5 linked regions of the Oryzias latipes genome follow. The protein of the gene in region 1 purifies or fractionates together with the protein of each later gene. This does not show direct contact. Links are inferred from orthologs where the notes say so. Each region holds a gene or a part of one and is shown on either strand. Other genes may lie near its edges. The genes, in order: pink1, sqstm1, vim, hsp90ab1 and cdc37.

What was found.
Region 2: the proteins of pink1 (region 1) and sqstm1 purify together in Homo sapiens (affinity purification with mass spectrometry; 3 studies listed by BioGRID and IntAct, with this or other methods). This does not show direct contact. The link is inferred for Oryzias latipes from reciprocal best matches to the Homo sapiens genes PINK1 and SQSTM1.
Region 3: the proteins of pink1 (region 1) and vim purify together in Homo sapiens (affinity purification with mass spectrometry; 3 studies listed by BioGRID and IntAct, with this or other methods). This does not show direct contact. The link is inferred for Oryzias latipes from reciprocal best matches to the Homo sapiens genes PINK1 and VIM.
Region 4: the proteins of pink1 (region 1) and hsp90ab1 purify together in Homo sapiens (affinity purification with mass spectrometry; 4 studies listed by BioGRID and IntAct, with this or other methods). This does not show direct contact. The link is inferred for Oryzias latipes from reciprocal best matches to the Homo sapiens genes PINK1 and HSP90AB1.
Region 5: the proteins of pink1 (region 1) and cdc37 purify together in Homo sapiens (affinity purification with mass spectrometry; 6 studies listed by BioGRID and IntAct, with this or other methods). This does not show direct contact. The link is inferred for Oryzias latipes from reciprocal best matches to the Homo sapiens genes PINK1 and CDC37.

The regions. Positions count from the first base shown.
Region 1 is NC_019865.2:23,688,179-23,694,128, reverse strand, and holds the start of pink1 (serine/threonine-protein kinase PINK1, mitochondrial), read right to left. Parts: upstream 3,667-5,950; 5' UTR 3,555-3,666; coding exon 3,198-3,554; intron 1,350-3,197; coding exon 1,068-1,349; intron 984-1,067; coding exon 880-983; intron 1-879. UniProt on the Homo sapiens protein: Serine/threonine-protein kinase which acts as a sensor of mitochondrial damage and protects against mitochondrial dysfunction during cellular stress.
Region 2 is NC_019868.2:3,815,987-3,822,161, forward strand, and holds sqstm1 (sequestosome-1), read right to left. Parts: upstream 3,676-6,175; coding exon 3,507-3,675; intron 3,070-3,506; coding exon 2,974-3,069; intron 2,881-2,973; coding exon 2,612-2,880; intron 2,486-2,611; coding exon 2,341-2,485; intron 2,269-2,340; coding exon 2,200-2,268; intron 2,131-2,199; coding exon 1,994-2,130; intron 1,920-1,993; coding exon 1,655-1,919; intron 1,580-1,654; coding exon 1,419-1,579; 3' UTR 1,305-1,418; downstream 1-1,304. Other genes in the region: mrnip (MRN complex-interacting protein), read left to right, coding at 926-1,135. UniProt on the Homo sapiens protein: Molecular adapter required for selective macroautophagy (aggrephagy) by acting as a bridge between polyubiquitinated proteins and autophagosomes.
Region 3 is NC_019875.2:29,288,502-29,294,594, reverse strand, and holds the start of vim (vimentin), read left to right. Parts: upstream 1-2,052; 5' UTR 2,053-2,138; coding exon 2,139-2,662; intron 2,663-2,860; coding exon 2,861-2,921; intron 2,922-5,300; coding exon 5,301-5,396; intron 5,397-5,606; coding exon 5,607-5,774; intron 5,775-6,093. UniProt on the Homo sapiens protein: Vimentins are class-III intermediate filaments found in various non-epithelial cells, especially mesenchymal cells. Vimentin is attached to the nucleus, endoplasmic reticulum, and mitochondria, either laterally or terminally.
Region 4 is NC_019882.2:5,881,098-5,887,288, forward strand, and holds hsp90ab1 (heat shock protein HSP 90-beta), read left to right. Parts: upstream 1-2,247; coding exon 2,248-2,397; intron 2,398-2,478; coding exon 2,479-2,685; intron 2,686-2,788; coding exon 2,789-2,948; intron 2,949-3,036; coding exon 3,037-3,170; intron 3,171-3,251; coding exon 3,252-3,554; intron 3,555-3,624; coding exon 3,625-3,790; intron 3,791-3,870; coding exon 3,871-4,061; intron 4,062-4,250; coding exon 4,251-4,398; intron 4,399-4,477; coding exon 4,478-4,746; intron 4,747-4,833; exon of another isoform or gene 4,834-4,860; intron 4,861-5,110; coding exon 5,111-5,444; intron 5,445-5,519; coding exon 5,520-5,638; 3' UTR 5,639-6,024; downstream 6,025-6,191. UniProt on the Homo sapiens protein: Molecular chaperone that promotes the maturation, structural maintenance and proper regulation of specific target proteins involved for instance in cell cycle control and signal transduction. Undergoes a functional cycle linked to its ATPase activity.
Region 5 is NC_019866.2:8,381,788-8,387,874, forward strand, and holds cdc37 (hsp90 co-chaperone Cdc37), read right to left. Parts: upstream 4,079-6,087; 5' UTR 3,920-4,078; intron 3,839-3,919; 5' UTR 3,838-3,838; coding exon 3,730-3,837; intron 3,540-3,729; coding exon 3,264-3,539; intron 3,107-3,263; coding exon 3,001-3,106; intron 2,915-3,000; coding exon 2,799-2,914; intron 2,659-2,798; coding exon 2,536-2,658; intron 2,288-2,535; coding exon 2,105-2,287; intron 2,023-2,104; coding exon 1,951-2,022; intron 1,852-1,950; coding exon 1,726-1,851; 3' UTR 959-1,725; downstream 1-958. Other genes in the region: cmc4 (cx9C motif-containing protein 4), read right to left, coding at 5,139-5,281, 5,361-5,418. UniProt on the Homo sapiens protein: Co-chaperone that binds to numerous kinases and promotes their interaction with the Hsp90 complex, resulting in stabilization and promotion of their activity. Inhibits HSP90AA1 ATPase activity.

The sequences.
Region 1 (5,950 bases):
AGCTACTTCCAGCATACATTGTTTTTACAAACTCCCAGTCAATGAAGGGCTTGCTTTGCTGGACCAAATTTCCAATTTCCAAAGCCACAATGTAGCTAGCTTCTGTCACAGCTTCACTGGATGTAGCCATTTTTGTAAACATCTGCTGTACAGCATAGCCTCGTTGTAGTTGTTGGAGATTATAGTTGCACTCCTTGCCGGTTGTCATAGTTTTTATGATTTGTGACATAGTGATGATTTTTTTGCTTGCAAATAAGGCACATGACTTTATCCAGCCCATGAGGTACGACAAAGTAAGCATTTGTCCACTTAGCTTGAAAGCGCCTTTTCTCCTCGCCAACACGTTTTTCCTCAAAGGAACCTACTCTGGCTCTCTTTTATCGAGGGCCACAAAAAAATCTTCCCGCGGGCCACCATTGGCCCCCGGGTCGCACTTTGAGAACCTCTGGACTAGATAATTCTTCTACATGCTCTTAAAATTCTAGAATGATTTTTGTGTTGCGATGGGATTTTGCTTGTTCTTTTACGGTATATATTCAAATCCCTTGTTCTCCACAAGGCAGTATGGCCTCATATCTGCCACTATACACTCTGATGGATTTTGTCATCTTTTTAAATTGCTGTGATGCAACCCTTTACGTTCATAATACGTTACATATCTATGCAAAGCCGCTAAGAAAAGCCGCTTATCTCCACGTCAGAATCAGCTGATACAAGTTGGTCACGTAAATGGTGGAAGAGTTACGGTACCTCAAGTGTGTTATTCAAGTGTCATGCTAACCGATCATCCTCCTCCCGAATAAAACACACCCAACTGTGGCTAGTGATCAGGTTCAGTAATGATTCGTTGCAGCCCTTTGACTTCGTTAACATATTTACCCGTCTAAAGTAAGTTGCTGTTTTGCTGGCGCCAGAGCGAGGGGGTCTGTGGGAACCAGCTCATGGGACATCGATCTAAAGATCGCCTCGTTTGATGACCCTGCCTGCAAACACATAGAATCACAACACCGGTCAGAAAGCGACCTTTCTTCCCCTCCCCACATACATGGGTGCTGGCCATGACCCACCCCAAAGTTCCACAGCATCTTGATTGCCAGCGGGAAGTTCCTTAGAGAGCAGCAACTCAGAGATGGCATGACGCGATTTCCTTCCTCGCCCTCACTGTCTCGTATCTGCACCGCGGCGGGCTCACCATCGCTTTTCTTGGAGCAGAAAAACTGAGGTGCAGCTTCATACACAGCTGCGTTGGATCCTTTCCCAATCTGGTTTCCTACAATGTAATCCTCCAGTTTGTATCCATAGGCCAAGGGCTTGAGCGGGCTCTGGAACTTCTTCTTTCTGAACACCGCCTGCAGTTCAGGAGAAATTAGATTCAGGTTTCATTAAAGCAGAGTTCAAAGTCTTTACTTTGGTATGTAAATGAAGTGTCCTTTTGAAATCTACAATTATACACTTAACTTTTAACACTAAAACAGCCTTGTAGAAGCCGATGCTCTGAGATTTAAGAAGCTTGACAAACTACCAGCGTGGTATCATTGATTAAAATTGTCTCATGAATTCATACAAACCTAATAGCATCAAACCAGTTATTTTTGCTAAAACTACTGCTAATGGGTTTACATTTACTCTACTTTCCTTCAGGCTAACTTCCTTGTTTTTGTTTTGTTACTTTCATATTATTGACCTCTTTTTGATGGACATGGATATTTTTTCACATAATCAGTGTGATGGCATGCATGTCACCCCTTTTTGGGCTAATTTCCACCCCTTCTGGGTCTCAAGCGGGCTGCAGGTGCATCATTTACAGCAGAGGGGGGGGTGGGGGGGTGGGGTGTCAGACTCCAGGCCTCGAGGGCCGGCCTCCTGCTGGTTTCCCAAAAATCCTGCCTTATCTGCTGCTGCTGCTGATGACTTGTGGATCAGGTGTGTTTAGCCAATAAGGAGCTTCAATGGCAGGTTGCTTGAAAAACATGTTGGACCCTCACGGCCTGGATTCTGACACCGCTGATTTACACAATCAGTTGTTGTTGCTTGGCAACAACAAAATGCTGCTAGAGAAGCGACCAGAGGGCAGGAGAGGCTAAGGAGACTGAGGTCCTTCAGAAATTGCAGGACTCTTGTAGAGATTTCATGATGGCACTGACAGGAACAGTGTGAAGATCCAGCTCCATTCTGGACATTCCTCTTCATCATCAGGATTTACTGCAATCGGTGCACTGAGGAGCTCCTTCAGTCAGAGACTTGAACACTTAGCTACAGGAATGAGAGCTTTTGCAGATCGTTCCTCCTGTCAGATATTAGACTCTAACACCTGACACTGGTCAATAGTTATTGTTATTCATTTTTCTAGTGTTTTATTTTTTTTTTGTTATTTATTTGCCGTTGTCAAAAGAGGTTGTAACAAGTGATTGATAAAGTTATATTCTATTCTAAAGTTTAAGTTTGTGTTGTTGTCAGTTGCAGCATAACTTAGTTTGTCACTTCCAGGGATGAGCTTGTACTGTCGGTTCATTTCACATTGACATGTATCAGGAGCAGACGAAACAATGCCGTTTGAAAAAATATCGTATTTGTGATGTAAAAAACATGCTGGGCAGGTCACAAGCTGCCTGCTCTGCTCCATTCCAAAGCAACAACTTGCAGACAAAGATCCGTGTTCGTTTACCTCTGGATAGCTCCAATATTGCTCACCATTTCTGCTAGGGATGAGGGTGTGGGGGCTGTAAGCTAGCGGGAGAGCATGTAAACAGAGAGCTCTCTGCAATTGGGAGAGGAAAGGGGGCGGGGTTGCTCCGTGGCAACAGTCCCGCCCACAACTCAGGGGTGAATTTCTAATAAACTACTGCAGACACTACGTCCAAGAAAACAAACGTTTTTTAAATGGAATAATCCTAATGAAAAGACCACTGGAAACGCTTTTAAAATAGATAAAAAATGATTAATTAATACATATTTTACTATAATAAATACTAACCTCATTGGACCCAATAAATGAAAGAATTAAACTTGTCAATTTATTTTATTTGAACAACAGATTTACACAGCTATGTTCTAAATTTTGTTTTTTCTATAAAATTACAGTAAAATCGATGATTTTTTTAAGTAAGTTTTAACATAAAACAGTCGCTATAAAAAACGCAAATATAAAATGTCAGATCTACTGAGGCTCAGACTGAAATGACAGCAGGAATTCATACCTTTATCTCATTGCACGTTGCCAAACTCAGCCTGTCGTCCTCAATCTGCTTCTCGATTAATCCCACACCGAGGCCAAACGCCAGAAAGACGGCTCTGTTCCGCGGTGAACCTCCGGCAAACCTCCTAACGAAGCCAGCCCACTGGAGCTGAGCTGCCAGACCCCTCAGTGAGGTGCGGTAATACCGGTATCGGAGAGGCAGGAAAGCCTGAGGCTGAGCGGTCCGGAAGGCCGGGCCCGCACGAACTCGGTCAGCTCGGAGCTTCGCTGCGACCCGACTACCTGCTTTCAGGACCCCCAGCTGAAAAATCGACCGGCCCAACTCCAGCCCTCGGCTAATAGCGTGTTTAACAGACATTGTGAGCCCAGAAGGGTTTTTAGAAACGTTTTAAAGCCCCGGGAATGCAGGTCAGCCTCAAACAGCTGCCGCGAGGAGCAAAGTTAAACAAAACAAATGCTACTGAGCATGCGCAAAGGACCTATGGTCATTGGTTTAGATAAAATACATTCATGGCCCCCTTCAACGAGTGGGAACCACAATACTGTATATTTCAGGCCTCAGCACCTTAGCGCATTTATTTTGTGTTGTGCAGTTAAAATTATCGTCTATATTTTTAATTAACGGTAATTGTTGTAACAAACTGAGTTAGAGCTGTTTGGATCCCAGCATCATTGTTTTTTTTTTCTAGTTACGGATATACTTTGAATGCATCATATTCATCCCCTTGACCCATCCTGAGAAACAGGCAGGATTGGCAGAATGATTTTAAAGGGGCGGGGAAAATACCAGTGCATTTTAAGGAAAGTTAATTATTTTCTTTGGATATTAATTTTAATTTTCTTCTTTTGTCTTTATAATGATAAGTAGTTTATTTGTGACATAAAAACTGTATTATTGAAGCAGGACCATAGACGCAGGGTAGGACTTGGAGGTTCCTGCTGAGCTTTGGTCAGAATTTGCACTGGAAGGTTAAAGGAATGATGTGACAGAAATAAAAGTTATTTTTAACACAGTATATGATGACAAATGCATAAATACATCTAAATCAGCTAACAACATTAGCTTGATTAACACATTTTTTTTATTTGTAATTATTCTTTCCCTCAATGTTAGAACTTTGTTTTCTCTGGGGGTTTCCAGACTATGTCCCTAAGTCTCTAAGATATGGAAGTTTTGTTTCACCTATAACTCAAAGTAATATTCAATTCTGAATTGACCATATCCCTGTTTAGTCCCAGTTTAAAATGCATTTTGCGATTTAGAATTCATAATGATAAAATAATAAAAAAGCATAATTAATTAAAAGTTGCAAAATGCATTTTATTTGAATTGTAGTATCAAAAAACCGTGACAGTTAATTTTAATTATTGTTCATTTTGAATTCTAAATCACAAAATGCATTGAAATGCCAATTGCAAAATGTGTGATCAAATGGAAAATTGAATTGCCTATTGAGAATTGCATGTCACTTTGAATTATGAGTGAAAAAACTTTTACAGGTACAGTTGCAGGTACCATATCAAGGTCATATTAATTTTTGTGTTAATGGAAATGCACACATAGGTTATTAAAAATCAAAATCAGTCCTATTACTCCTTCTATTGTTATTTTCACCATGAAATTGTTACGTCTGTGCTTATTCAAAATCCCTACAATAACATCAATTCTTACATTTATGACCATGATCCTTGTTATAAATATGAACAATACTAACATCACTGTTCCTTAATTCATTCATATATTTAAATTAAATTATTAATCGATATTATGCTTCTGCAATTTGGCTTTGGTTTGTTTTTCCTTTTTTCTTTTAAGGAGATTTTTTGATGCTTGGGTTTTGTTTTTCAGTATCTCATGGCCAAACAAGCCTCTGTGCATTTTCAGTGTATATTATGGGTAAAAAATCTTGCCCTCAAAGATTACAGAGAAAAAAGAATGTTCTTGAGCCTTGCTGACTAGCGACTGGTCCAGGATGCACCACGCCTTTGTTCAACATGAGTCGGAACGTTCCAGCAACCCCAAAAGGGATTCAGCAGTTTAAGAATATAGATGACGGAAAGAAATTTCCTGGACCAAAAAAAAAGATATTCATCACATAAAGCAATCTCATTAACGTTTAATTATTTATGCAACCTATCTAACAAAGGTTTTGGAAGCAGATATTTGATTTTTTATAACACTTACAGGTCAGAAATGTCTGGCATCTTTAAATATTTCCTAAAGGAGCAGTCTAAAATGTGTTTTATGGTGAGTAATTTTGGTTATGAATTATTATAGGTTCAGGTAGTCACCAACCATGCTGGGTCTTCTGTATTTCCTAAAACATATTTCAGAGGCAGAGATCTTCTTTAATTTTTTATTATTTTTTATGATGAGGAATAAAATAAAATGCTTGAAGAAAATGGAAACACTTTGAAAAATAAAACAAACAGCTCATCTTTGTTGTCATCAGATGCTTTATTCTGGATTGTCTTTTAGATGTAATAGCACTAGAAAGGTTTAAATGTCAATTCTTTGTCCCAATGTGTTTCTGTGCAAAGTTGCAAAATCAAGAGCTTCTGTGTGGCAAATTGTATCTGTGATTTGAGTCAAATGAGTCATTTTAAAAGTTTCCACTAACTGACTAACCTTTGACCTCTACAGATACTTCTCAATGTCATGTATTGACGAGGGACAATATATTGTGGAAAAAAACTGACCCCAAATCCCCTTTTGACATAACTTTGATCAACAGGTTACCTTTACATCAAACA
Region 2 (6,175 bases), on another chromosome or scaffold:
GCTTTGTTTTCTTCAACTGATTGTTTTAAATTCTTTTATGCTTGAACTGAAACACATCTTTCCTTTGTCTTTGTTCTGAATGTTGGCAAAGAGAAAATCTGACGACCTTTTTAAACTATATTTACTTTTGTCTTTTTTAAATCTTTGTTCATATATGGCAGACAATTCTTCTTTATATATACATTTGAAAAACCTTTTATATTGTAATATTTTTTATTCACTGAATAATGGATTATATAGATGTGTGTAATTACTGCCAGTGATAATAAACGTTATTGCCTTTTTTGTAGAATACAAATTAGCCTGTTTCCCTAAATTTCAATGCAGTAGTTTAGAAATGGAAGAAACTGAGTTAAACCGTAAAAACGGTGCTTTGTTATCAAGAGCTGACTTAACTTTATGAAACGCCAAGTAATGCCCTCAATGATGACTCCCAGAAATTTCACATTCTTCACTCGGTCAGTTTTAATTCCATCCATTCAAATAAATTATATTTGGGTTTGTGTCTCTGTTGCCAAGTATCAAGAAGAAGATACGTTTGAACCTTTTGGATGTGTTAGCAATGTTATGTATATACAGACTGAAGAACTGGTCCTAGAACAGACCATTGAGCTACTCCACAAGTTCTATTCCAAAATTGTGATTTGATCTTATTTGTAGATACTGTCGTTTACATGAGTTGTTGGCCGTTGAAGAGCTTTCCCTCCAATGCTATATTTGAGTTCAAGGAAAATATTGGGGTTTGTGTCAAATACCTTTTTTAGTTCAAGGAAAGTTCATGGATTGTTGTTGAATGAGAATTTTTCTTTCAATATGAGAGATCAGGCTGCTGTTTAGCACGTGGTCACTTTGAGTGAAACAGTTCTCTCTTCAGGTTCTGGTGTTTCTGTCATCCAACTTTCACTACTGTGTTCTTTATCTGCAGCTGATTGGTCCAGCAATGAGACGTTCTGCTGATGAAGCTCACTTCCATCCCCGCGCCTTTAGCTCAGCCTGCTCTCTCAAATCTGATTCCGAAATCCAAGAGGAGGAGCCTCCAGCTTGTGGGCGGAGTCAAGCCCCCAACATGCCCCACCCAGGACTCAGTGTTTCCTCCCTGTTCGAAACTGAGGAAGACTTCAGTATTGACTTCTAGCAGCTCCTATGTGTAGTCTGGTTCAAGTGTGCTGCTGGTGGAGGTGTTGCCGTGGAAACAGGTGATATAAAATTACATTTAGTGTTTCATTTGGACTGTTTTGGTTCTCAAAAGCAGCCTGCTGTGCACTTGGCAGTACAGGTGTGTATCAAGACTCCACCCACTCGGATTCCTTCATGTTTTTATTGTTCAGAAACAGATTAATAAAAGACAGAAACAGGTTAAGGAGTTGATTAACAGTTGAACAGATAGAAACTCAGGTTAAATAAAGCAGCTGGTGCGGTCACTGTGGTGGGCGGGGCTGCTTGGCGTACTGGATGGCGTCCAGAGCCGCTCCAATGTCAAAGTTTTTGGCCTGGAGGAGTCTGGTGAGCCAGCCCCCCTCATCAGTGAAGCCCATCGACAGCATCTGAGCCAGAGACTCCACCAAGTGGGGGTCCGCCTCTGTGGGGGGCAGAGGGAGGAGCTTACAAGAGGGCAACAGTCATAGCAAATGATACTTGTGAGAACTAGACTCACCTTGAGGCAGGTGGGGGTACAGCGCAGCCTCCCGCAGACCTGTTGGCCCCTGCTGCCCTCCCGACGGGGGCCCCTGCTTCCCTCCCGACGGGGGCCCCTGCTGCCCTACCGACGGCTGCTGCCCTCCCGACGGGGGCCCCTGCTGCCCTCCCGACGGCAGCTCGCACTCGTGGTTCTTGGGGTCTAAGGATTGCAGCTCCCCCGTGGACGGGTCCACCTCTTTGGAGCTCAGGTGAGTCCACTCCTCGTCAGAGTCCCGGCTTGCCTGCGTGTACGTGGGGACGAGGGTCAGTTGTTGACACGTTCATTTCAGTCATTGATCAGTGAACACAGACTGACCTTTGACCTCTCAGCAGTTGCAGACTCCCCTTCGTTTACATCCATTGCCACATTGTCATCCCCCCCTCCAGCCTGAGTGGGTGGATTCACCTTCGACCTCTGCCCGTCATGCTCAACATCAATGTCCACGTCGATTCCTGCATGGAAATCATGACATCACTTCCTGCCTGTCCCCCAAAAACAGCAACTCCACTATGTACACTCACCCAGGGGGCTCAACATGGCGGCAACCCCCTCCCCAATGTTCTTCAGGAAGTCCACACTAGCCTGGGAAGCTGCAGAGGTCAGAGGTTAAGGTGGGAGCATGTTAATGCCCTAGGCTCAAACGTTTTTTGAGTTTCTCTCACCTGATGGTTCTCCACCGTCACCCGAAGATGCTGATGGCCTTGGCTGGTCCTGCTGTTCCTGCTGCTCTGGGTTTTGGTTTTGATTCTGGTTCTGGTTCCACATGCAGTGTCTCATTCTCTTCATCCACTTTCCACGGGGAAACCACTGCAGACACAGTTTCTGGTTCAGTCAGTGCATTTTGGCTTTGACCAAAAAGTCCTTTCTTTTAAATCAGCACGATGTCCAGACAGAAGTGGAAAGACGATTAGATGGTTAGATGGAGTAACTCACCTGCAGGGGGTGCCAGATGGGCAGCAAAGCGTGCTCAGTGTGCTTCCCTTGAGCCTGGCAGGTGGAGCAAAGGTCGTAGTCGGGACAAACGGAGCACTTGAACCGCATTCCCACAACCGGCCCTTCACAGCCGTCACAGGTGACGTTAGGGTGCAGGGCGGGGGGAGGGCCGTGATGTGGAGCATGAGGGGGGCCATGGGGTGGTGGGTGTCCAAACATGAAAGGGGGTAGGGCATGCAGTGGGAAATCACGGCGGTGCTCCTTCTTCTCTGTCAGAGTTCAGGAAGAAAAAAAAAAAAAAAACCGTGAGGGAGGACTGCTGGGAGGTCACTCTGATCTCACACAGGAGGCCGTGCATTTACCTTTGATGTAGAGGCGGAAGGTGGAGTCCTTCACGCAGCCCAGGCCCATCATCAGCTCATCATCAGAAGAAAAGGCCACCAAATCTCCATCCTCATCTGAAATATAAACCGGAATCACACCTGAAGCTCCTCCCCTCTACGTCATAAGGTCCCACCTACTCCGCCTGTGTTTGTGTGTGGGTGTGGGGGGGGGGGGGGGGTCTAAACTTCGGGCCTCCTGATCAACTGAATATTTTCAATTGCGCACAAATCAAAGGACAGAAATTTGTGGGCGTGGCTACATGCGTCACGTGACAGCAATCCCTTTAAATTAGCTGTTTCTTAAATAAGTCAGTGGGCGGATTATGTTTGTACAGATTCAAATGTCTACAGTCCTTCTATATACTCGAATGTTTCTCTAAGTTGGTCTTCCGCGTTACTGCGGCTGTTTAATAAAGTATTGACAAAAAGTTCGGTTCCAGGTTAGTGAGTATGACGGTTCCGATCAGACCCAGCGGATCCCGGCTCTGTCTGACCCGGCCCATGCGGCTCACCTTTGTAGAAGAGGTTGAAGGAGGAGTTCATCAGGTTGGAGAAGACCGCCGCGGTTTTCTTGCTGAGATATTCGAAGTTGCAGGACACGTCCTGGTCCACCGCGAAGCGGCGGATCTCCTTCACATGCTCGTCCTTCCCCAGAAGGTAAGCCTTCACCGTCACAGACATGCTGCTGCTGCTGTGGACTCCGAACCACAAAGTTCTGACACCGGGAGCAGGACCGAGACACAGACGCAAAACCGTCACTTGAACAGTCCAAGAAAAATCCCAGTTTGTGACGCAGCGATAAATTTCAGCCTCTTTTATGTTTACTTCCGCAGGTGACGTGATTCTGTTAACAGTTGCGCAGCCGCGGATTGGTCCGTGTAAAAGGAACGCCGGTTCCAGAGGTCCAATCAGAGGCCGTCTTGTGTGTCACGTGATCAGGATCCCAGCAGACAGTTCACACACATCGCGGAGTCACCGTGAGAAGGCAGACTGCGGCCATGAAAACACGGAAACGATGAATCGCCTAGAGACGTCCTCCTGTGTTTATCAAACCTGTGGCCCATCGGAATGGATCCTTCTAGAATTAGTAGGAAAGTTCTAGACTGCTTCAGTACTTTTAGTGTTTCAGACTAAACAAGGGAAAAAATTTAATCTTTTCAATTTAAAACTATGGAAGTTCATTAAAGAGAAATTAGTAACTAACCATAAAATGTCAGTTATTTTAAATAAATAATTCATTTAACATTGGAATTTTTTTCCTTAAAACAGTTAAACTTCATTAGATTTTTTCTTTTGGAGAAAAAAAACGTTATATGTTTTTGAAATTTGTAATTCATTTTTTCTCAGCTGTTCAAGGAGGAGCCTACATTTTTATGTTATTCTTGTTAATGTTATAATGTAATATTTATTCTTTAAAATTATTATTGTTTTAGAGATTACTTCCAAGTCAAAAGGAAAAAAGTTTGTCACAAGAAAATAATAATAAATAATCAGGCCTTATAACATCGAAGACAAGTGAACAATCTAAACCTAAGATACAACTTTACTTAAATAAATAAACCAAAACTACAACGCCATTGTTTATTGAAATCATCAGGGTTTTTTGTTTAAAGCCAAAGAGACCTAATGGAAGGTTAAAATAGCTGCATGAAGACTAATATATTGTATTCTAGTAAATACTCATGATTAGTTAACTGTAAGCATTTTTCATGTCTACCATTATTTGTCCTGGATCACTGAGAGGGAGTTGATGTCTAAAATTCTTCAGTTATTTTTCCTATTCAGAGGGAAAAAAAGAAAAACAATTTTCAGAAGTGTAGTAAATGGATTACATCTGTAAACTACCAGTAATGATAAATTCATAGTCAATGTTTATGAGGAAATCTCCTGATATTCTGTCCACCTTTAGGTCTTCTCTTCAAATCTTAATGATTAATTCACCAACATGGGGAATTTGCATGCTTTGTTCAGTTGTGTGTACTGTTGTGTGTTTGTGTACTCTGCCTTCATGCACGCCTTTGTGGTGATGTCACCCACCGTCCTGAGCCAATCAGCTGACAATGACTCACAGTCACATGAAGTCAGTAAAACCAGTTCAATGACCACTGAGGAAAAAACCGTGAAGTCATGGAAGGTGGTTCCCTGAGAAACCACATCAACCCTGAAGACCTGAGAGAGGCTCACCTCTGCAGGACTGCAGCCTGGAACCTTAGTGACCTGGAACCCAAAACCTTCCGTTTATCTGAAGCTCCCACAGTTTCACAGATGAAGAGTGTGACGATCAAAGAGTCTGACTTTCACCTGTTTCTTATCTTAAGAAGAGTCTGACTTCCTGTTTCTTTGTTAGGGTGGGTGTGATCTCGTCTTTGTTCTGTCTAGATCACTGTTGACATTCAATGCAGACACTTCAGAGCTTTTCTCCAAAGCTGTAACCAGTCCACCAAATCTCTGCTTGTATCAGTTCTCATCCTCAGTCTGATGCCTGTTGTTGATGATGACACACAAGGAGGTAACACTGACAGTGCTGCAGCTACACCAGACAGAACGGTCTGTTGTGATTAACTAAGATATATTGTGACATTTCATCTCAATAAAGGAGATTTCCACAGCTAATCACACAGGAAGACCCACCATCCAATCAGAGGAACACGCAGATACAAAAGCACCAATCGCAGCATTTGTTGACAATAGACAGCAGGAAGACATTAACCGTCTTTTCTGAGCTCCTCTTTTTGGTCTCCATCTCTGCACCTCCTCTCTGCTCCTCTTTTACATCTGCCCCCAGCTTCCCCTGTCTCTGCTCTTTCAATTCACTCTTATCTGTTGCTGCAAATCCTCATTTCTGCTTGATTGTTGAACTTCTGTGAAAAAGTCTGTTCAGCGAGCTGTGAATCTGTGCAAATAATGAAATCCTCTCACCTTTGTGTGAACTGAAAGTCCGTGTTACTGTCTCCGGCTGGGATACAGTTCTAATATATTCTTTAACTCTGGATAGAAAATCCCCACCAGACCTGAGCAGAGTTTTTCTCTATCTGCTCCTGTATGGTTTATTATTGGCAGTGACATTTTGGAGCTGGGATTGTGATTTCTTGCTCTTGATGAGCCGGAACAACAACCTTCTTTCTTAGTTCTGATGAAATCAGGCTTATACCAACAACAGACAATCTATTTGAATCGATTG
Region 3 (6,093 bases), on another chromosome or scaffold:
ATCATGGGAGAAGAAACAAAGGATTCTTTTTCTGCAGTCGGCAGTTTTCAAGTGAAGACACCCAGAAACAAACTGTTTTGCTCTCAGTCGCACTTCACGCTGAGTCTGACTGATGTTGTCTTTTGCTTTTTAGATTCTTGTAACTCTTTGTTCTCAAACAGTTAAGCTTCATAAAAGCTCCACCAGATTACAACCAGAACGGAAAAATTAAAATAATTTTCAAAAATCCAGATTTAGCCAAAAATGAGATCCCTGCTCTCGCCTCACACTGAGTCACCAGCTGCAAACAACAAGTTACCGTCGGCTGTCTGCATACTGTCCTTGTAGTTGATAGATCAGCAATACACAATCCCCGCTCTGTGTGGGACAATCCTGGGGCCGCTGCGTCTGTCCACTCTGACAGAGCTGACTCATAATGGGCTCAGGAACAGGAATTTCCACGCTGCACGCCCCTCGCTCTCACTGAGAGCTTTCCTTTGGATTTCACCAGCTTGTTTAGAGCCAGACTCCAGTGTTTTCCCAGTCGGGTCGAGGGTCCTGCAGGGTCAAAGTGCTTTGGATCTGTTTAAATCAGCTAAGCTCTGGCTATCGAAGCCAGAAAAGGCTACAAGCTTTTCTCAAAATCAGCACAGTCCAGAATGTTTCGTCCCATTAGGAGCTAGGACATGATTCTCCAAAATGAATCCAAATCCTTTTGCTGCGTATTCTTGACAAAAGAAAAACTTGATTTAAGACTCAAAAAATCTCAAAAGTTCAATCTATGTTCGACTGACACTCGTTATTTTGGAAACAGAAATTTAGATTTATGTTCAAAGAATAAATGCTAGTTTGAGATTTGATGAGGATTTATTCAAATGGACTAACGTCTAAAATGAGTCATTTCCACTAATTACACTAGAGTTTTGTCACTGTAATAAAAAAGAAAAAGTACAATTAGGTTCATTAAAACTCAATAAATACAACAATTTGCTTAGAACTTTGTAAAAAAACCTTTTTATTGGGTTGTTTAACCTTCAGTTTGAAGTAATTCTGTTAACTTTTTGAGCTTATTTCTCCCTTTTTTAATGTGGAACTCCTTGTTTCTTTACGTTGATATTTTATGAAAAGATTTCTCATAAACTAAAATGACTTGCTGCATGAACAGATACATTTACTGCTTTCTAGTGATCTTTAGTGTTCTTTTCCAATTTTTAGGTTACTCATGTTTTCAGTGTATCCCTGAACACAACTCAGTAACACTGCAGCTTTCACACCATTACCTGCCTGTCAATAAATTAAAGTTTGATGATAAACCAACGCCCGAAGGTCCCAGCAACACCAAAGGAGGCTCGCTTTGGAGGTTTAAAGTGTCACTGACTCAGCTTTGCTGCATGTTTTCCTGCAGAATCTGTGCAATTCAGCAGCGAGAAAGCAGCAAATCTAGTGAGAAAAGAGAGCACAAGAGGAAGGAAAAAAAGGATTAGAGCATCATGACTAATTTTTGTCATGTTTGAAACTGGTTGAAGCGGCAGTCTGTCTGGAAAGCTGCATTTTCAAATCCTGGAGCAGTCGGTCTCCCAGTTTCTCTCCAGATCACTGACAGTGAAACACTGCAAACATGGAGTATTTATTGTCCTCGCATTGGAAAATATTTCCAAAACGTGTGACACATTTGCACAAGACCACCTCATGCACTGATCAACCCTTTTAGTATGGTTGGGGTGGGGTGGGAGGGGGGAGTCTCATGACACATTTGAAATGACCAAAGGCTCCAAGGAGGAAAAAAACAAATTAAAAAAAAGCAAATATTTAACTAAGTTAAAGCATGAAATGGATGAAGATCTGATTCCAAATAGTCACTTGGTTTGTGGATTATGCTTTTCTTCAGGAATCAAAGAAAATTGAGTGTGAAAGAATCTGATGATCACAAATTCTTCTCTTCCTTGGATAACGAGCTCCATTCAGAGTTTATAAATGGAGCCCGAAGAGGAGGAGATCCTTTACTGGACCCACCACGCGTCACTCAAAACCCACCGCCGCATTTGCATAAGGAGGAGACTATAAGCGGGTGAAGATGCAGGAACCGCCCATCCAGGCGCAGTCCGCGGACGCAGCTCAGGACGCACCAAACGCGCGCAGCATCACCCCCGGAGCTGAAGATGTCCTACAGATCTGCCCCCCATTCTTCCTACAAGAAGATGTTTGGGGGTGAACAAGCTTCGGCCAGAAGCAGCTACTCCAGCCGCCAGTTCTCCAGCCCGGTTCGGTCCAGCCGGGTCTCCTTTGGTCTCTCCTCTGCCCCAGTTTACGCAGTGAAGACGCAGAGGCTCCGGAGCAGCGCCGCCATGCCCCGGCTGGCCTCCGAGAGCCTGGACTTCTCCCTGCACGACGCCGTCAACAGCGAGTTCCTCACGAACCGGACCAACGAGAAGGCCCAGATGCAGTCCCTCAACGACCGCTTCGCCAGCTACATCGAGAAGGTGCGCTTCTTGGAGCAGCAGAACAAGATCCTGCTGGCGGAGCTGGAGCAGCTGCGGGGCAAAGGCACCTCCCGCATCGGAGATCTCTACGAGGACGAGATGCGGGAGCTGCGGCGCCAGGTGGACCAGCTCACCAACGAGAAGGCGCGCGTGGAGGTGCACCGGGACAACCTGGCGGACGACATCGAGAGGCTGAGAGAGAAGTAGGGGAGGGGGCGTGGCCCTCGTGGTTCCGCTTTTCTGTAGGCCTGTGTGGCTGGTCGTGTAAAATATCCCCACATCACTGATATTATAGAAATAAAGTTTGCAGAAATAGAAACGGAAACACATGAAAAAAGTTTAAGAGAAAGTTCCCAATTCCAATAAGTCTTGAAAAAGTGTCTTTTCTCTGACTTTTGCAGGCTGCGTGATGAAATTTCCCAGAGGGAGGAGGCTGAGGCAACCATGCAAAGCTTTAGACAGGTACTGCTGGATCCAACTCAATCCTTTCCACCCCAACAAAACACAAATGTCTTATTTTCAAAGGTTTTTGCTGCAGAACTCTTAGTGAGAACCGGGATGCTGATCTTAATTTCTCCAGTTCTGCAGTGTTCTTCCACTTCCAAACCTTTTAAAACGTTAAATCTGTTACCTTAATTTCCATCTATTTAACAGCAGGTTTTTATATGCCGTGGGACGGATGTGCTCCCCAGCAGATTACTGCTGAGCCAGTGGAACGGTAGAGTACAGGCTGACCTGGCCCTGGCTGCAGAGGCCAAGTTTTGGCGTGTTGTGCTCAGTCAGGCCTGCAGTGAAAGCAGATTGTTTGAGTCTGACTAGTCACAGAGAAAGGGCAGGACTACAGTGTGGATCTCAGAGGGATCAGACATGTGACCAGAGCTGTCCCGTTCCCGGATCATCAGACTCTCACTTGTTTTGGTGTGGCAGTGGGACTGTCCCGCCGTCACAGGGTGTCATGGTGAATCATGTAAATGCAAAAAAAAAAGGCCTCATGTTTCAAGATAAGTGAACATTTTCTGACGACTGTTTAAGAAAATAAATGGCTTGATGTGGAATTTGTGTGAGCGACAGGATGGATGGCACTGAGACAACAATGCGGCGGCCGCAGCTCCTGCTCAGTCAGGCAGACAGTCACTCTCCCAGCCTGGGGCTTGCTGGGAAAACCCTGCTGAATAGCCCACTTTGTTTGTGGCATTAGTGTGGGAGGGGGGTGCTGCTGCTTCATTTGCTGATACGTCAATTACAAGCCTGCCAGCGCCCCGACAAAGCTGCAAAGCTGCACGGTGCCACTGCAAGTGCATGTGAGTTAAGAGAAAAAGAAACTGATTAAAAGAAAAAAAAAGGGAAACTTTTAATAATGGAATTAATTTTCTAGTCTAATGAACCGTGGAGAGTTTTAGTTTGAGAGTGGAGTCAGCTAATAATAAAAAAAAGAGATTAGGAAGCTCTACAGGAATGCTTGGTGGTTTGGGATGCTCTGAACAAAAGGTATTTTAGAAAAGTCCCAGTGAATTGCTCCCTTGTCCCTCCTAAAATAAAGCTATGCAGGCACACAAAGGCCACCTCAGGTTCCTTTCTATTCATTCACACAAATCTGCTGGTTTCCTGTCATAAATTAGGTGCACATCTGGTCAGAATGTGGACAAATAATGAGACACCTATTTTCAGCCGTAGTAACCCTGGAGAACCCAAGGAGTCAAATTTGGCCACTGTTTTTTTTTAGGCTGCCATCTGGACTCTTCCATTAAAAGATCTTTAATAAAGTGCTAATAGTGGTTTTAGTCTATCACCTCAAAGCTCTTCGAACAACACTGGCAACCTACTTGGGAAAAAAATGTCGGTTGTAAGTTTCAGATTTTGAACGGCTGATTATGTTGAACAAAATATTAGCAGTTTTAGCTTAATTAGTGTCTTTGTACAAAGGTAATTTTGGTTGCGAGGAAGCAGGCCGTGTCACACAGCCACTACCTACATATCGCACATTTTCCCTCGTATGACATGTCTGTCTGTTTTGATCCATGCGTGATTTACGTCATTCATTAGTGTTTCTTGCGTTCGTCATTCGTGGATGTGCGCAGATGTCCGTCGAGGGTTTCAGCCAACGGGCCTTTACATGATTTTAGGTTTTGAGCTGCTCAAAATTTTTGGTCGGTATAAAATTACGCAGTTTACGCATATTTAAAGTACAGTATACGCGTAAGACTCACGCAATTGTGTGTGATTTCTGCAAGATGCATTTGCAAATTTGTGACCTTCTACAACCGTTCCACGTTTGTCTGACAGACTTTTCACGCACAATCTCCAGATGCATAATATTTTTATTGTGCACACGGCGCAACTATCACGTATGACCACGTATAGTGGCTGTGTGACACGGCCTTCAGCCCGCGAGGGCAGTTAGAAAGGGGGCCACTAGGGCGGTCGCTGGGGGCCATCCAACACCCAACATCGTGCAAGACTTTAATATCATTTTGTTACCTGTGTCAAACTACCTGAAAAAGCCCAGAAAACAATTTTTCTCGCATTTTCCAGGGTAAAGCAGTTGAGAAGGAATAAATAATTTGTATTTTTGTGTCATATCTTAAAAACAACCAACAGAAGGTGTCAATAAATACATGATGTTAGCAGCACCTGCAAGGACATGTGTGGCCTGCCCACGGCTGCTTTTTCTGTTTTTGGATTCATGTTATGACCTTGGGTGACAACACAACCCACACACACACACTGTTTATAGGTGCTGTGAGTCCTCTTCACAGCATGTGCATCAGAATATGTCAGCAGAATGCATAATTCATGTCACCTTCACAAGTCACCTTATTAAGAGTGAGTGTCATGGCGCAGGACGTGGACAGTGCTGCCCTGGCTCGACTGGACCTGGAGCGGAAGATTGAGTCGCTTCAGGAGGAAATCAACTTCCTGAAGAAGCTGCATGATGAGGTAAGCTTCGGTGTGAGGCCAGGCGGCGTCGGGTTGCTGCAGAAACACTGCGCTTGCACTTGAAAATCTCATAGGGATGCACAAAAAGAAGCCGCATAGATGTTGTTGGTGTTATCAAATTTCCAGGTGGTCTGAAGATGCCTGGAAAAGTGCAGGAATAGGAGTTTGATTAGTGTTTTTTGGAGACTGACGTGAACATGTCTGCTGCAGGAAATGCTGGAGTTTCAGAGTCAGGTGCAGCAGCAGCAACAGCACGTCCAGGTTGACATGGACGTGGCAAAGCCCGACCTGACTGCAGCTCTGAGGGACGTTCGCCTGCAGTATGAGAACCTGGCCACCAAGAACATCCAAGAGTCAGAGGAATGGTACAAATCGAAGGTAAGAACTCAGGGTGAAATTTGAAAGTATAACATGGAGTAAATACAGAAATATGAATAAATAAAAAAACTGCAAGTTCAGACTTCATCATGTTTTTGTCTACTATAGTAAAAGCCTCCTTCTTCACAAATTTTTTTTAAACCAACTGATCATTTCCTGCTCAGTAAATCGTTAAATATAAAATGCTGAATATGCTGAATCAGAATATCTACCGCCCTCGTTGCCCCCTTTAGACCTAGCCTTACTGGCTGAGCATCTACATGCCTCAATCCCCCAATCTTCCCCAGCCACCCCGGTCAAAGCTAAATGTGAAAGAAAT
Region 4 (6,191 bases), on another chromosome or scaffold:
TAAAATTGGTAATATCTTTGAAGGGAAAAATCGTTTACGTCTCTAATGGCACTAAACTAGCCCACGAGCTAGCTGAGAGCGTTATCAACACTCACGCATGCGCACTATTTACCAAAGGACAACCGCACTTCTTTTGTGCGTCGGGACATTGCCCGTGGACGGGGCTAAAGTTCTGCTCAGTACACCAGTGTTTATGTTGTGAAAAATGTGTCTTTTACTACAAAGGCTCTCTGAATCTGATTTATTTGCATGGTAAATGATCATGTAGTTAATATTTTAAATTAGCTTTTTTTATAGGAAAATGATACTAATCATTCCAAAATTTCTATTTTTCTACATTTTATAATTTTACTACATGCTAATGAAATTTCAATTTGTTCTGCATAAATGTTTGTGTTATTTAACGTAAGCCTATTAACAATGACAAAATTAGATATTTGACATAGTTTTATTTACATTTTGTTTAACCACGTTCAATTGGAAGTGCCGTCATTTTGATTTCAATGTTAAAATATGTAAAATAAATCAATAACTAAAAAAAGTTTTTATTAAAAAAATATTTGGCATATTTATTTTTCATAAATGTAAAAAAACAAGCCTTTTAAAAAGTTTTGACCAGTCATATTGATTTATTTACAGTAAAAAAAGAAATAAAGGTGTCATTGATCAAAATGAGGTACAGAGCGGCAGTTGTAATTTCTGTGGCAACCAATAGAATGCGAAGTCAGCATGTGACAACTCGGTGACGTCATGTTTAGGCGGGTTTTTCATGGAAAGTGCTAGAAGAAACGAAGCACTCCCCTTCGGTATTCTTCCATGTGATTACAAAGACCTAGAGTGTTCGTTGATTCCGTAAAAAATACAGCGTGCTTTTAATTTTTGACATCCAGATATAGAGATTCTATACAAATACTTTTTTTTTTCAACAAAATTTTGACACATTTTTAGAATTTAGACAATTACTAAACGGAAGCTCGTAGATGTAGTTTTTGCTGTATCTTAAATAACCGCTAGATGGCAGCAAAAATCAAATACGATTGATTTTATTCTTAGTTTTGTTTTTAATATAATAAATTTATAACGTTTAGATTTTACCTCCTTGGCCAATCAAAATATTGTGCATGCTATTCCACTATAACTTTTTATCTGTTGATATAAATAATTACATATTTTTCTGGAGGAGCACAGTTAGTTCGAGAAGGAGCGCCGCGGAGGGATCTTGTCCTGCACTGAAACTCATGAGCATATAGATTCGGCGTGCAGCTCCAGAATCCTCCTTTCTTTTTCCTGCGTCAGTGAGCGGCAGGGATAGCACTTTTGTTGCATTTTATTCAAGAAAAGCCAACATAAGAAACAAGGTATGTCTTGGTAATTCACTTCATATTGAGGGAAACCAAACTTTAAATGGTTTATTATTATTCTACACCGAATGTTGAGTCATTTAACGGGTTTTTTTGTTATTTGATTTCGATTCACGTGGTTTGTTTAACCTTGATTCATCGATTAAAAGCATTTCTGACATAGCGGGTTTACTATTCTTAATTAGTAATGGGCTTTAGGTTAAATCTTGTACTAGTGACCGAAAATAAGTGGTGGGCTTTTGCCGCATCTTGTAGGCAGACAGAAGGTATGGAGATTTATTATTGTGAAGGTTGGTTGTACCTGACTGTTTAAAGAATAACATTACCATAGTTTAACGAGCGATTGACGTGTCTTTGTGTATATTTTGCCAACGAAGGATTCTAGATGGACTACTAGTTTAGAATCTTACACCCAGAGTGTGTACATCATGTACATCTTGCATAACCGACACAGGAGTGCTCGTGGTTTTTCGGGGTGATGGTAGTTTTGGGGGCTATTTTTTTGCAGTAAAGCTCCTGAGCGATAATCCAAAATCGTTCGATCTTGATATTCACGGAAGCTTCGGGTTTTTTCGGTTTTAGTCGGCACGTGCTTGCAGCGTCCATTGTCCATGCCTCGCCGCCATGTTTCGCTGCACTTCCGCCCGTATGTTGTAATCTGATGGCAGGGATCCGACTCTGAACCGGTTTCTGAATTGTGGTAGTTTATGGTTTAAAATTATTCATTAAAAAAAATTAAACTAAAAACTACAATCTTAGTAAAATAATTGGCAGTTTATTACCGTATTTTGCGTATTTGTAAGATGTTGTGCTTTTATTTTGGCGTTTCCTGTTGGTTCATCCCATTATTAGTCTGACGCTGTTTGTTGCAAACCTGTTATTTCTTATGCAGATGCCTGAAGAAATGCACCAAGAGGAGGAGGCTGAGACCTTTGCCTTCCAGGCAGAGATTGCTCAGCTGATGTCCCTGATCATCAACACCTTTTATTCCAACAAAGAGATCTTCCTCAGGGAGCTGATCTCCAATGCCTCTGATGTAAGTCTGCAGCAGTTTACGTAACATCGTATCACCTCTGTGTCAATACAGTGAAATATCTTGACGCTGAATTATTTTTAGGCTCTGGACAAAATCCGCTATGAAAGCTTAACTGATCCCTCCAAGCTGGACAGCGGCAAGGATCTGAAAATCGACATCATCCCCAACAAGGCTGACCGCACCTTGACCATTGTTGACACTGGAATTGGCATGACCAAGGCTGACCTTATCAACAACCTGGGTACCATTGCAAAGTCTGGGACAAAGGCTTTCATGGAAGCCCTTCAGGTATTAATATAAACAGGCATAAAGGGGAAAAATACATATACACATTTATATATTTTTTTAGCAGAAGTGAATACAAATTGTGGAACTTTGCCGTTTTCTTCAGGCTGGAGCCGACATCTCCATGATTGGTCAGTTCGGTGTGGGATTTTACTCTGCCTACCTCGTCGCTGAGAGGGTGGTGGTTATCACCAAGCACAACGACGATGAACAGTACGCCTGGGAGTCCTCTGCTGGGGGATCCTTTACCGTCAAGGTCGACAGTGGTATGGATCTTCAAATATTATAATTATGGTGCAACAAACTAAAATCTGACTGTGAAACATTTGTTAACCTCTACAACACTGTTCTCAGGCGAGCCCATTGGCCGTGGAACAAAGATCATCCTGCACCTTAAAGAAGACCAAACGGAGTACATTGAGGAGAAGAGGGTCAAAGAGATCGTGAAGAAGCATTCTCAGTTCATCGGCTACCCCATCACCCTCTTTGTAAGTGATTTGTTTGTTTTTTTACAAACATATTTCTCACTAATAGAAGCTTATGTGGAGTTGTACGTGGTTTATCTATAGGTGGAGAAAGAACGTGACAAGGAGATCAGTGATGATGAGGCAGAGGAGGAAAAAGAAGAGAAGGAGACCAAGGAGGAAGGTGAGGACAAGCCAAAGATTGAGGATGTGGGCTCAGATGATGAAGAAGACGCTAAAGACAAGGGCAAGAAGAAGAAGAAGATCAAGGAGAAGTACATTGACCAGGAAGAGCTGAATAAGACCAAGCCCATCTGGACCAGAAACCCTGATGACATCACGAGTGAGGAGTACGGCGAGTTCTACAAGAGCCTCACAAACGACTGGGAGGATCACCTCGCTGTGAAGGTAAAATAGAGGTTTGGGTGTCTTCTGATCGGCTGATGGAACCTCGTGCTGACGTGTGTTTCTCTTTTAGCACTTTTCAGTGGAAGGTCAGCTGGAATTCAGGGCTCTGCTCTTTGTTCCTCGTCGTGCACCTTTTGACCTCTTTGAGAACAAGAAGAAGAAGAACAACATCAAGCTGTACGTCAGGAGAGTCTTCATCATGGACAACTGTGAAGAGCTCATCCCAGAGTACCTGAGTAAGTTTTAAATCTCTGTTCCACCGGATCTGAAAGGAAATGCACAGCAGCTTTAAAACGTTTTTGTTTGTTTACAACAGACTTCATCCGTGGAGTGGTGGACTCTGAAGACCTGCCCCTCAACATTTCAAGAGAAATGCTGCAGCAGAGCAAGATCTTGAAAGTAATCCGCAAAAACATTGTCAAGAAGTGCCTGGAGCTGTTCGGAGAGCTGGCAGAAGACAAAGAAAACTACAAGAAATTCTATGAAGGTTTCTCAAAGAACATCAAGGTATCTCAAACATATCTGAAGCTTTTCTAAATGATGCCTATAAACTGATGGATTTTTTTTTTCCTGTAAACTTTTAAGGTGTGAAAATAAATCGACACATATTTAGCGTGAAGCCTTGGAATTGGGCAACGCTTGCTGCATTACCCAGAATTTAGTTGAGTAAATCGATCACAACTTTTATGTTCACAGCTCGGCATCCATGAGGATTCTCAGAACCGTAAGAAGCTGTCTGAGCTGCTGCGCTACCACAGCTCCCAGTCTGGAGATGAAATGACTTCCCTCACAGAGTACCTTTCTCGCATGAAGGAGAACCAGAAATCCATTTACTACATCACTGGTAGGTTTGGCTTCCAGTCCATATGTTCTTTTGTTGATTCTTTTGGCACGACTTAAGTTTTTGTTTTTTGCCTCTGAAGGTGAAAGCAAGGACCAGGTTGCCAACTCTGCTTTCGTGGAGCGCGTCCGCAAGCGTGGCTTCGAGGTCCTGTACATGACCGAGCCCATCGACGAGTACTGTGTTCAGCAGCTGAAGGAGTTTGATGGCAAGAACCTGGTTTCTGTCACCAAAGAGGGCTTGGAGCTGCCAGAGGATGAGGAGGAAAAGAAGAAGATGGAGGATGACAAGGCCAAGTTTGAGAACCTCTGCAAGCTCATGAAAGAGATTCTGGACAAGAAAGTAGAGAAGGTTGGTCTCAAATAAGAAACTGTGCTTTTGCTCCTCATTTCTTCACCATCATTTCCTTAACTTCAGTGGTGTTTTGTTTGGAAACAGGTTTCCTAGTGGTAACTACTTATATTGGTGAGTTCATACAGAGTAGAAGTGGCCTGTAGAGTTTCTAGCGTTGCCTGATATTTGAGTTGAAAGGGTTTGGTTTTGCAAGAGCCTGATAAGTCTGACAGCGACGTGAGTTCTAACAATGTTTGTCTTTTGAGGCTGTGTCTAACACTCGATGAAATCAGCATCACACAAACGGCCTGAACCGCATGCGTGTATTGCATTCCAGTGGTCGGTTTTCTCAAACCGATGCTTACCTTCATGCCTTCTACAGGTGACTGTCTCCAACAGACTGGTATCGTCCCCCTGCTGCATTGTGACGAGCACTTACGGCTGGACGGCAAACATGGAGAGGATCATGAAGGCCCAGGCTCTCAGGGATAACTCCACCATGGGTTACATGATGGCCAAGAAGCATTTAGAGATCAACCCCGACCATCCCATCATGGAGACCCTCCGGCAGAAGGCTGAGACCGACAAAAACGACAAAGCTGTGAAGGACCTCGTCATCCTGCTGTTCGAAACTGCTCTGCTGTCCTCTGGCTTCTCCCTGGACGACCCTCAGACCCACTCCAACCGCATCTACAGAATGATCAAACTTGGTTTGGGTACGAAAACACTCCAGACTATAAATATCTTTGTTTTAAAAGGTTCATGTCAATAATTGGAGGTCTTGTCTCCAGGTATCGACGATGACGACATCCCCACAGAGGAGCCCGCCTCCACATCTGCCCCAGAAGAGATGCCACCCCTGGAAGGAGATGCTGACGACGATTCGTCACGCATGGAAGAGGTCGACTAAACTTCCCCAAACTTCACACTTTTAAGCCTCACTTTCCCAGAAATCCATCTATTATAAATTCTGTAACTAAAAAATCAAGTAGGCATTCCTGTTGTGACGCTCTCGGTAAGAGATCCTCACACTGAAAAACCTTGTTTGAAAGTAGGTTTGTTTCTGCTTGCAATGTTCATGGTGACGACTCATTTTAAACTCCCCTGTTGCACTGTGGTTTACTTGTTCGGTTGATGTGCAAGTTGGGGAATGATGCATTCCATTCCAAATGTTTGGGGGGGGTTCTCTTCATGTGCAGCGCTGCATGGAGAGAGGACTGTAAGATTCCTTTGCCTGAGGTCAGGTTTGTCTGTGTTCAGTTTTGTTTTTGCAAAAATAAAGAATATTGTCCCTAATGTCTGTTTTTGCACTCAATACTTCTGATTGGCCACAAGGTGGAGCCCTTTCATATGCAACCATTCGACTGGAGTTTAAAAATGCTGCATAAAACTGTCAGTGTTTACTTTTGTAGTCATTAAATTTGGCAAGAATTGTTAGAATCTTTACTTCAAGTCGTCTTTGC
Region 5 (6,087 bases), on another chromosome or scaffold:
TTCAGCAAGTTCGTAAGATGGATGCGGACATTTAGAATTCTAAAATCTTGGCTTAAACCTATTCAGTGTTAAGATCTGCCTAAAAAGTTGAAAAAAACTACATACAAAGATCTGGCAGCTAGAGCTGCCACATAAACTAAAAAAATTGTACCCTTAGACTCAACATCGAGGAGAGAAAAAAAACATTAATAACAAACTGTTGCAAAAAAAACTAGTTACTGATGTAATTGGATGATTACTAAATGTGAAACAAAATACAGCATTAAAAAAAGTGTAAACAGAACAAAAACATCCAGTATTGCCTAAATGGAAATTTAATGTGCTCGTTTATATCAATCCATTTAATCTAGATTACCTAATATGCATGTAAATGGTAAATGTGGTTTAACCCTGGCACCATGTTTGGATCAAATCTGACTCAATGTTTAGTATGAATGTGGTTTCTAAAATGACTCATTTTTGCATCATCATCCTGTCAAATAAGAAAGTGCTTTTATTTTGTAGCGTTACTTTTAAAATGTGAGCAATGTCTGTCAATATTTAATGTCAAATATGAAAAAGAATATTCTTCTTGACAATAATCATGATTGAACTGCATTTTTGAGGAAGATATGGTTTTTCTTTTTGAAAAAACACACAATTCCCCTTTTCCACTGGCTCTAGTACAGATAATTCGATTTTCAACATCTCATGTGATACCAGAAAATAATAAAAAGAAGCTAAAGACACCTACAAAGGAAAAAATATGTTCTTTTGGTTGTCTATTTATAATCTAATACCATAACTATGCATTGTTATAAAGTGAAAGGCTCCTGGGACAGAAGCTATATTCTTGCAGCATGGGACCAGAAAAAACAGTCATCATTCATTTTTAACATATTTAGATTATTCATTCTTTCAGGCACACATTTTCAAATATTCATAGTTCTATCCTTACATTAAAAAACTACAATGGTTCAGTTTTCAAGTTTTTTTTTTTATTTTTCTATGAGAAAAATTGCAGTATTGAAAGCAGTTTTCCCTCAGTTCTTCACTTAAAAATGTAAGCCATGACATGCAAATGTCAAAGTACTCCTGCCTTGGAAGAATAAGCACAGTAAGTTTACATCATCTCACAAAGGCGACTAGTTGGTCTTTTCCATCTTTAGATTACCACTGAGTAAGAAGCCAAAGCTAAATCTTTGGGTTCATTTAGGATAAACAGAACCGAACATGATCAACTGTCGTTGGCCTGGAGTTGACAGCAGTAACCCTTACTATTTTTCTTAGAAACCTCATTTACCAGCTGTTCTATAAAGCTCATCAATCAAGCAGTTTGAATGATTATTTGAGCACAAGTCAATGTTTTTGTTGTCCTGAATAATGTAAAAGACCCGGAGGAAAGAAAAAAAAAAAATCAAAACATTGGAACTTAACGGTGAATGTTGTACAAATGTCACATAAAATATCTGTTGCAAAAAAATGTGACAATGTTAGACTTAAGCTTGCAACTATGCACCAATACCAACAAAGCATAACAAATGAAGGAAAAACATTCAGCTCAGGCGATGCAGAAACACAGTTTGTTTTTGTTGTTTCAAATATGTGACTTATTACACATTTATAATTCAAATTTGTACTCAAAAAGTTTAAAGAAATGATGGTGTTTATTGGCAAGCTGTTTTACATTAAATGAGACTGGGGTACAGTAAGTGAATACAATTGCAAACAACAAATCCATTGTGATCACTCCTTTGTTTCTTCCGGCTCCCGTTTCACCTCTTCATAGGTCCCTTCTTCCTCCTTTCCTTCCCCAGAGTTGGGGACCCACAGACCTGAGTCAATGCAACGCTTCATATGATGTTTTGCCTCCTAAAAGACACGACAGTCACATGTTAACAGGGATTTCTTAAAAAAAAAAAAAGCACCTAAATCCAAAAAGATTCAACCAGACAAAACTGTATAGCTTACAGTTGGATCCATTTTACTGATGACTTCTTGTAACATTTGGATGTCCTTCTCATCAAAGCATTTCTGCATTTCCTGTGGTTGAAGGCAAACTATGTGAGCATTTCAAACTCAATAGAGACAAAAAATGAAACCCTGCTTGTTAGAATGCACTTACAGCAGGCAGCGACTCATACACTTCAACTGGATCCAGGCCTCCAGGCCCCAACCGCTTCTGCCGCTCCTCTTCCTCGTATTCTTTCAGGGCCTTTTCTATGCGAATCTTTGCTCTTCCTCTCACCCGTTCTTTAAACGCCTCAAGCTCGTCGTTAAAAGCATCTTGGTATTGCTGATCTGCGGTCTGTAAGAAAACAAATGAACAAATGTGAACATTCCAAACCAGAAGTATAAAATTTTACAGAAACTTCTGGTAAAAAAAAAAGGACTTTTAAAATAATCTGTTTTAGTCCAGGAATAACAGACAGACTGCCTTTGATTTTTGTACTGCTTGTTTATGAAAGCACCCTTTCTTTTCCTGCCCAAACATCTTCTTTAAAATGAATAAGTTCAGAGCAATTAAACACAATAAAATTAAATAAACTTGCTTACTTTAATCTTTGCAAAAAACTGACGGAAGCAACCGCGGGGATCCACTTTGAGGCTTTTTGCCAACTCAAGAATGAACTGCATGACAATGGTCTGATGGGCCACCTGCTCCATCAGTGCGTGTTTCTGCAAATAGGAAAGCAAAGCTTTACTAAGAAATGAAAAACCTAAACAGCTGCAAACAGGAGCACACACTTTGAGGAGAAGATATGCTAAAAAACAAAGATACAAGAATATAAAATAAAAATATAAGTATATGTGTTTACCTCCTCAACTTCCAGATCAATGCACATGATGACGAGATAGTTAGCGGTTTCTTCACATACAAGATGAGGATTGTCAGAGAGATACTTTTGGCTGTCGTCCCATCGTCGCAACATCCCTGTAAGTTAATAAAAATAGACTTAAATTGTTTTTAAAGAAGGGAAAAGACAACAGAATGACCTTATGGAAGTTACTCAGGCTTACCGAAATGTTTAATCTGCTTCTCGTGTTTTTCAACAAATGTTTTGTGTTTTTTCTCCTTTTCTTCTTCCGTATCTTCCGAAGTTTCAGGTTTTATGTTCACTATGCTCTATAAGCGAGAACAAAGATCAAGATTTGACACCATCTAGCATTGATTTGAAATAACTACTTTGTTTATAAAATGTCAACGGACTAATGTGAGCTTCATTGGATTTTCCAACCTCTTGCTAGAAAACCACAGGTTTCTATCTGCATATAGAAGTCACCTTGCTGAACCCTTCCTTGCTGAGTGTGTCCACGTTCCACGGCATCTTCTTCTCCTCCCTGTAGTACTCATCCAGCTTTTTCTCCCAGTCCCGCTCCTCTTTTTTCAGCTTCTTCTCATCGGCTTGGTATTTGGTGAGCTCTGTTTTGACACCATCGGAAAGGTTCAGGTCCTGGATCTTTGTCTGTAACTCCGTGAGTTTACGCCGACATTCGGCGAGTCCTTTTTTTAGGTCTTCGCCTTTCTTCTGGAATTCTTCCATTCGCTCCACGCGCGCCTAAGGAACAGATCACACGCGTGAACATCATGTGTAAACAATTTCAAATACTCATCAGCTCTTGTCCAGTTTGAGTTCAAATTCAGGAATCCGAAGTAAGTAGGAAAATTAGCATGGCTGAAGAATTACAAGCAGAAAGTGAAAGCTAACGATCACGCTAAGCACTTTTCCGAAAAGCTTTTATATTTACCTGGTGTCTCCATCTGAAGAGACTGGGAGTGTCAATATTTGGGTGGGTATCATCTTCATCATCCGATACCTCAATGTGATCCCACACGCTGTAATCTATCCTGGACATCCTGCAGCAAGAAGAAGCAGCGCTAGCTTCGACTAGAACTCGGTTAAGTTGGCGTCTAAATCACGCTCGCTAAAATACCGACCTAAGAAATATTCACACTCGAACCCTTCAGAAATGTGTGTTGGTGCTCTGTGTTTCTGTACTCCAAATTTGGTCGTGCGAATTGATTTGTTACTCCCAAGCAAGAGCTAACGGGAAGCTGCTACAGAGTTCTAGAAGAAATTCTCCCCAAAGCTTCCGTTTACGTCATACGTAAGGCGCGTACATTGTACGTCGTAATTTAGACACCGGAAACAATGACCAAAAACGGAAAATATTTGGTTTTCATAGTTTTAATCTGAAAGACTGTGATGCTTTCTTTTGTATAAACATGTTGTTATTTATGGCTAAATTTGATATTCATAAAAGCAAATTCTCCTATAAAAAACTGATTTATTTGTGTTAAAACTGGAACTGCAGCAATATTTAAACTTAATTTCAGCTTCAAAAAACACAAAAGCTCAAAAAACAATTAACATTTGTAAATCTTTTGGAATAATAACACAAGTTTACTCTCGCATTTTCTCTTTTTATTTTATCATTTTTTTTCTATGTTTAGTTCTATTTTCTTTATTTATTTTAATTTTTTATTCCCTTTTGTGATTGTTAGAAATAATTAGAATCTTCTTAAGCATGTAACACGTTTATTCTGTATTCAGAATTGTAATGTACATTATCTGTGCATAATTGTTGCATTTCTTTGTTCTGTATGTTGCAATTGTTCAATAAAAATTAAAGAAAAGGGAAATTATATTTAAATATAAAAAAGAAAGAAAAGCACCATGACCCGAATGATTACATTTTTCAAGGCGAATTAAGAATAAATTAGAATGCTGATCTGAACACATATTAGAAGATTATTATTTTTACATATAAGATTTAGAAAATGTACCTACGTAATATGGTAAACTAAGAGTATGATATTCATTTGCTTACTGCTATTTTTCGTTCTTGATATAAATGGCCAGATATGATTTTTATATAGTTATGTTTCAGATATAGATGTGTGCTCCAGACTGATAGATGATAATTTAGTTTGTCCGTTCCCAAGAAGGAAAAGTTCAAGTTCTAAGAAAGGAAAACAAGATCAGTTTGTGAATGTTTTCCTTTTTTCTTCATCGCCGGTGTTGCGATCATAACCTGTGACAACACGTTTGAATAAAATAGCTAGAAAATGTTCAATCTAACAGAGAAAAGAAGATGAACTAGACAATTTTATATACTTTTTATTTCCATTGAATGCAAGTCATCAGCAGGTGGTGTCAGCTATTTTTGCTCGGTTTGAAGTTTGTCAGTTTGGAGTCTTTGAAACCTGAGCAGCAGACGGAGTTTCCAGTTTGCGCTGCACAGCACCGCTGCATCTCTCGGATCACATCCTCGCATTTACTTTCCACATACTTGTTAGCTGTGAGATGAGAACAAAAAGTTCACAAATTTGTTTGAGATTTGCATTAGAAGAGCACAACAACAACGTCAATGTGTACCTTGTAAACACGTTTGAATGGCACATGCTTGCTTTTGACACGGATCTTTCTGTGGCATATCTAAAGGAAAACATGTGAGAATGAAAACAATGATATGAATAAAACATGGGCAGAATCTTAAACTTTACTTATTGGATAAAGATTGGGGGCATGGTTTTAAAGTTAGACATACCAGTAATATTTGATACGCAGATCGACCTACTACTGCTGGGAACCCAACCACTTCCGTTTTCAAGGGATTGTTTTGATCACGTGTCATGCTGTTAGCCAATTACATTTAGACATCTGCTCAACAGCGACATCGTGTGGGCAATGAAATACATGCATTTAGGCTTTTGTTGGTATTTTAACAATTTTTAAAAATCAATCTGGTCATACCAGATATTTGAACTTTATACTTTATTTTGAAAAAAACGCAGAAGTGCAAATAAAATGTCCATACTTTTTTGATGTTTTGCTTTTATTGATAAAGATAAGAAAATTAACAAACAGTTCATATGTACAATGGCAACCACTGAAATATTGTCATTGAGTCTTTTTTTATTTGCAATGATTATATTTTGTTAGTCAAGAAAACATATAGTCAAGACATAAACCAGATCAAGAAAATCACATACAGTTGGACACAAACAAACAAAAGATAATTACAATTCTAAAAAATGTATCTAACACATTAAAAAATGAAATTTCCAAAGACCTTTTTTTAATGTGGTCTTGTCTGTGAAAT